Mus musculus: one gene and its partner. Each later gene encodes a partner of the first gene's protein in a complex. Links are inferred from orthologs where the notes say so. Each region holds a gene or a part of one and is shown in the gene's direction. Other genes may lie near its edges.

Region 1 (3,822 bases):
AGAGGCCCCTGTGGTATCTGGAGATACACAGAGTGTATACAGCTGTTATGGTGCACGGAACTCACATGTCCAGCATGGCAGTAGGAGCAGCCTGTTCTCTACTTTGTTCTAGACATCTCTGAACTGCACTGCTCAGTAGCAATGAGTGTGTGTAGTCAGTGACCCGGTAGTATAGTACCAGCCGCCACTGAGGTTTGCCTGTGTATGTGTGCGGAGGTCTGAGGTTGACACTCCGTGTCTTCTTTAATCCCCTGGAGCTTGCTGATTCAGTTAGAGTTCATCTGTCTTTGCCTCCATAGTATTGGAACTGCAGGCACATGTCACCACTCCTGGCTTTTAAAACATGGGTTCTGACAACTGAACTCGGTTTTCATGCCCCTCCAGCAAGCACTTTACCAACTGAGCCATGTCCTTATCCCCTATCTGAAGATATAATTTGATTTAGAGCTGATAGAAGCTAGGGTTTGCTAAGTCAATCTAGCCTACAAGGATCACCGGTTCGTCACAGTGGAGCTACATCAGATACAGAGGTTGGTAGTGAGAGGCTGCTACTGGGGGATGAAGGATGCCTCAAGAACATTTCCCTGTCAGTCAGCAGCATTTCATCTGTAGTCAGTCGGCCTGCAGGATCCAGACATGGCTTTGTCAGGGAACTTTAGTTTACAGCATAAAGAAAGCACACACACAAAGGTTAAACTAGCTTATTAATTTGGGGACCTATGGCTTCCATGCTAGACATTGTGGATCTGAGGTGAGTCACGGAATGTTGAGTATCTACTACTTTCAGGGAAGGACCGTGTCCCCGCTGCAGAGCACCGTCTGAGGGAGAGGATCCTGGCTACGTTCCTGTTCTGGCTGATGGACACATACGTGGTACAGCTGCTTAGGTCATTCTTTTACATCACAGAGAGCACATTCCAGAAGAACAGGCTCTTCTTCTACCGTAAGAGTGTGTGGAGCAAGCTGCAGAGCATTGGAGTCAGGTACCACACAGCATCCCTCAGGTATCAGTGTCTCCTGTGTGCATACGCAGAGGCACCGGTGCACAGTGTGTGGCACCTGCTAGCCTGGGCATGGACCTTGAGGGCATAGATTCCCTGTAGCCATGGAATGGAGTCCCTGCTTTATTGCCTGTGAAATCATAAATTGGATCTGTACCATCTATAAGATCCTTAAGGTAGGAGAGCTTTTTTATCAAACGGGAGCGGAACTGATGGATTCCACCTCATGTCTACCCCTGAAGGAAAGGAAGTGTCTCCTCACTGGGAAACCACAAGGGTCCACCCTGAGAAGTGGCAGGGCTCTGAGTGGCTGAGGTTCTGTGCTGATTGAGCTAGAGTTTTGTTGTCTCAGCAGAAGGCCAAGCTGAGAGGGCAGTGGAGCAGCTAGGCAAGGCCTGCAAAGAGCAGACTACCATGTTAACTTTCTATTTTTGTTTGTTTGTTTGTTTTGTTTTGTTTTTATTTTTCAAGACAGGGTTTCTTTGTGTGGTCCTGGCTGTCCTGAAACTAGTTCCCTAGACCAGGCTGGCTTCAAACTCACAGAGAGCCACCTGCCTCTGCCTCCTGGGTGCTGGGATTAAAAGTGTGCGCCACCACCACCCAGCTCCATGTTAGCTTTCTTGAGGTCCAGCCTTAGCTATGGATCATATATCACCCACCCATTGTGCTTATGGGATCCTTAGCAACCAGCACAGGGCTTCCTGAGGGCAGGCAGGGACACTTTTTGCTTTCATACCTGTGTCTAAGCCAAGATATCCATAAGAGTCAGCGGATTGCTTCAAAAATATCCTGGCCAATGGGACCCCCAAGAAGGAAACACCAAGGACAGACTACGGGACCAGATGTCCCAGGTGCCGACCCAGGCTTCGTGTCATGAACCCTGTCCAGACAGGTCTATGGGGTGTGTGGGTTGTGTGGGTTGTTCTGGTCCTAGATGTAGCCCCATAGCATGGTCGGGTGTCAAGTGCTCCAAGTTCCCAACCACCCTGATGGGACATGTCTCATGAACTCCCTGCATGCTCCTGTCATAACTCCACGGTGCGCTCCGTAACAGGCAACACCTTGAGAGAGTGCGGCTACGGGAGCTGTCACAAGAGGAGGTCAGGCATCACCAGGACACCTGGCTAGCCATGCCCATCTGCAGACTGCGCTTCATCCCCAAGCCCAACGGCCTGCGGCCCATTGTGAACATGAGTTATAGCATGGGTACCAGAGCTTTGGGCAGAAGGAAGCAGGTGACCGGACTTGGCCCCTGTACTGATGGTTGAGTCTATACTCTGACTTAAGTAAGGGCTCATGAAGTTCTGAGGGAGGCTAAGTAACCTGTTGTTCCTAAGTCTAAAAACCCAGCATGTGGAAAGGGCTTAGAGATGGGAGATGGTCCCAAGACCCAGAGAGCTTGGGACACAAACCCTGGAGATCCCTCAGGGACCCTGCCAGGTAGGGTCGGCACTATATGGCCTCTATGCTGGGGGGGGGGGGGCAAAGTAACCAGGGGGGGGGGCAAAGTAACCTGACTCTACCACCAGGGCCTGGATGCTTCAGCATCTGGGTTAGCCAGGGGCCCTTGTAGGCCTCGAGGGTCTTCAAGGCTTTCCTTGTCCTAGGGTACTCAATCTGGGGCAATGGGATAGCGAGAGGACTATAGGCCCACCATGCCCCAGGGTCTTTTGTCTGGAACGTGGGATGGGAATGTGCGGTAGTGGAGTGGAGAAGCGTGGAGTATCCTCCTGCATCTAGAGTATCTCCTGACTCTAGCCCAGTGGGCATGTTCTAGAAGGCACTACCCCTGGAAGAGGATGAGAACAGGTTGAGGCAGGTTGGATGAAGGCCCCACATACAGTCAATTGACTTAGTGAGATAGATCCTCTAAGACTCTGGCTCTAGAGGAGCTCTGGCTGAGCTATAGGAGTCTATTCTGAGAAATCGGGGTGGTCAGGGAACAGTCTGCCAGGTCCCTTTCTAATGTGTCCTCTATGGCCCTGGCACAGGCCCAGCATTTCACCCAGCGTCTCAAGACTCTCTTCAGCATGCTCAACTATGAGCGGACAAAACATCCTCACCTTATGGGGTCTTCTGTACTGGGTATGAATGACATCTACAGGACCTGGCGGGCCTTTGTGCTGCGTGTGCGTGCTCTGGACCAGACACCCAGGATGTACTTTGTTAAGGTGGTCATTTGGACTCCTGTCTATCACATTTGCTCTCATGGTCTGGGCTCTAGGGACCTCCTTGAAATAAGCAATGCTGGGTGACCCTGTTGCAGCCTCTTGTTGGTGATTGGGAGTGTTAGCCTGCTACCCTATACAGGCCAAAAATATTATGGCCCCCAGTTCTCTCAAGATCAGAAAGACCCCATGGTGGGGGAGGGGTTGATAACTAGCTCCCAGGACAGTCTTGAGCTCTATATGGGTTCCCTTGACAGTACATTCCAACCTCTCTGGTCTCCGCTCTGTGCGAGACCCTTTGGATTCTGGGTCCTCTTCAGAGAAGTAAAGCCTGACTCTACCACCAGGGCCTGGATGCTTCAGCATCTGGGTTAGCCAGGGGCCCTTGTAGGCCTCGAGGGTCTTCAAGGCTTTCCTTGTCCTAGGGTACTCAATCTGGGGCAATGGGATAGCGAGAGGACTATAGGCCCACCATGCCCCAGGGTCTTTTGTCTGGAACGTGGGATGGGAATGTGCGGTAGTGGAGTGGAGAAGCGTGGAGTATCCTCCTGCATCTCTATCTCCTGCAGGTTTGCTGTGGGCAGGTTGGAACCCAGGCACCAAGGACAGAGCCAGCAGGACCCCTGTCCCTGGATCCAGCCATGCTTAATGGT
Region 2 (2,815 bases), on another chromosome or scaffold:
AAAACCCTACATCAGCAAACACTCTTCCCTTTCATTCCCTGTACCAAGACCTCCATGCCAGAAGATACCAATATTAACTGTTTGTTGTATATTCCCACCCCCGCAAAATCTCGAACACCCACGCCCCCCCACACCCCCCCCACACAAAAACACGAACACTCGCGAACACATCCACCCACCCACCACGCTTTTGTTTGTTTGTTTCTCGGTTTAAAAAAGGGTTTCACTGTTTAGAATACTGTCCAGGTAGGCCTTGGACCTAGGATGTTAGAAATCCTTCCGTTTCAGCCTCTGGACTTCTGGGGTTACAAGCACGGGTTAAGCTCCCGGGTTTTTTTAATGTATCTCATGAAAACGGCAGTCGAACTGTCTATAGTCACTACTTAAAAAAAAAAAAAAAAACTTTACGATTTTTCTGGCTACAAGTTTAGTATGCTACTATATTTTTGCCACTATAAGTAGTGCTGCAATGATCATTTTGCAATATCTTGGTTTTAGTTTTTAATTCTTTTTTTTTTTTTTTTTCTTTTTGAGACAGGGTTTCTCTGTATAGCCCTGGCTGTCCTGGAACTCACTCTGTAGACCAGGCTGGCCTCGAACTCAGAAATCCTCCTGCCTCCGCCTCCCGAGTGCTGGGATTAAAGGCGTGCGCCACCTTAAACTAGAATCTTATGAGACTTTTCAGTCTTTTAAAAACTGGAAATACCCCGAGAAGGCGTACCTTACTTGCTATTATCTGCTACTCACCATATAAGAAAGAGCTGAACTTGTGGTCAGGTCCCGAGTTTGAATCTTGGTTCGATCCCTAAAACAAAATCCACCGGTTCACAAGAAAACCTTTCCGTTCTGTTCGCTTTGCATAATATCGAATACCCATCATGCACTCTTTGCCGCCAATACTCTGAAATTGGGCGGGAAACCGGATGTAAAAAGTAGGGTTCAAAAAAAAAAATCTTAACTTCTTCCCTAGGATATAGGAGGTTGAGAATCCTTGAGTCCTTGTTTCTCCAGGAATTCGAAAAGTGGTGCCTCTGAAATGGGTGTGCAATTTGAAATTAAAGATAGGACTGATATCAACAGTGAATGATGCATCAACATTCAACCCACATCCATCCCTACTTCCTAATCCCTGGCAAGTGGCTGGCACACAGTGGGCAGTTCCATGGATCTTAATAACTTTGCAAGGTTGCTGCTAGCTGGAACCCAAGGCCAAGCAAGACTTGCTCTACTATGCCCCCTTCTGGTCACATGGATATGACTGGAGAAATGGACTACATTTCCCAGGATGCCTTGGAGAGACTTCCGTCCAATCTGGAAGGTTGTTGGCGCACGCGATTGAAGCGGCGCACTCGGAGTAAACGCGGCTGGCGGTAGTACGTGTGTCTTTTTGCTGAGGGCAGTTATGTTTCTCCAATATTACCTCAACGAGCAGGGCGATCGCGTTTATACGCTGAAGGTAAGGGGAGGAGGAAACAGCTATATATCAAAAGGACGAGAAATTTAGATGGGAGGAACAGTTGGAACCGGCCTGCGCAGCCCACTGAGTGGAGCCATGTCGGAGCCAAAACGTGGTAGATAGGCAGTGGCTTCTTTTTCTGACCACGCGATCTCCTGGCCTCAGGTCACCCATTTTCTTGTTTCTTTCTATCACACCACTCATATTGAGATATTTTTTATTTTTCCTTGAGCAGAAATTTGACCCTATGGGACAACAGACTTGCTCCGCCCATCCTGCTCGGTTCTCCCCAGATGACAAATATTCAAGACACCGAATCACCATCAAGAAACGCTTCAAGGTGCTCATGACCCAGCAACCGCGTCCTGTCCTCTGAGGGCTCGTTAATCTTTTACGCTGCTCATGCCTCGGCCTATTATCAGCAACCAAACGCGTCAATCTGTAAGCCTTGAAGCCTTCCCATGCTGTTTGGAATCCTATCTCACTCACCACGTGAATGAGTCTATACTGATGGGCCTCGCCTGTAAAAGGAACAATATTTTTCTTTCTTTTTTTCATGCCAGGTTATTAAAGATATAGTGAACTGAAAGTTCATTTTGTGTGTTGTTGGAGGAAGAGATGGGGGAAGGGTAGTACCGTTGGTAGTACAAGGCCACTTGAGAACATTCGTAAGCCCTCATTGTAGCAATAGAACTGTGTGCCATCGACGATAGGGTGTTGGGGGGAAAAAGGCTGTGAAAGACTCCTACAAAGGTCAGCATTCCCTGGAAAACTACTGTCTAATTGTGGGCCCTTTAAAAAATATTCTGAATTCCTCAAAGAGTAAAAAAAAATGTATGTGTGTTTTAGTATTTTACCGACATGTGTCTATGCCTATATGTGCCAGTAACCATCAAGACCAGAAGAGGGAGTCAGATCCCTGGTGACTAGAGACTGATAGCTAGTCTTTCTGTGACTGCAGGGGATAGACACAGGTCCTCTGGGAAGCACCCCTCTCTCCAGTCCTACCACTACATTTTGAGTTCTGAGATAACAAGTATGCCCAACCCTGGAAGTTTTCTTTTTCTCTCTTTAGACAGAGTCTCTATGTAGAGCTGGCTGCCCTGGACCTCAGGTCTAACTGCCTCTGCCTTTGAACACTATCTTAAAGGTGTGCGCCAGCCTGTGGATGTTTCTTTACCAAGCCAGTGAAATCTGTCTGGTAGGAGATATGTCTTCTTGGTTTTTTTCAGTATTGGATACAATTAATTCTGTCCTTCGATTGCAAAAATAAAACATTAGCATTGTTAGCATTACTTCTATGCCACGAGCTGTGCATACCAAAATAAAGACTTCAACCTGGAGGTAGTACTAGTCACC

What was found.
Region 2: Tert (region 1) and Nop10 share a complex: the UniProt entries of both Homo sapiens proteins name them as parts of the telomerase holoenzyme complex. The link is inferred for Mus musculus from reciprocal best matches to the Homo sapiens genes TERT and NOP10.

Annotation. Positions count from the first base shown.
Region 1 is NC_000079.6:73,633,365-73,637,186, forward strand, and holds part of Tert (telomerase reverse transcriptase), read left to right. Parts: intron 1-787; coding exon 788-983; intron 984-2,055; coding exon 2,056-2,236; intron 2,237-2,992; coding exon 2,993-3,172; intron 3,173-3,822. UniProt on the Homo sapiens protein: Telomerase is a ribonucleoprotein enzyme essential for the replication of chromosome termini in most eukaryotes. Active in progenitor and cancer cells. Inactive, or very low activity, in normal somatic cells.
Region 2 is NC_000068.7:112,260,622-112,263,436, forward strand, and holds Nop10 (H/ACA ribonucleoprotein complex subunit 3), read left to right. Parts: upstream 1-1,304; 5' UTR 1,305-1,402; coding exon 1,403-1,456; intron 1,457-1,691; coding exon 1,692-1,832; 3' UTR 1,833-2,277; downstream 2,278-2,815. UniProt on the Homo sapiens protein: Required for ribosome biogenesis and telomere maintenance. Part of the H/ACA small nucleolar ribonucleoprotein (H/ACA snoRNP) complex, which catalyzes pseudouridylation of rRNA.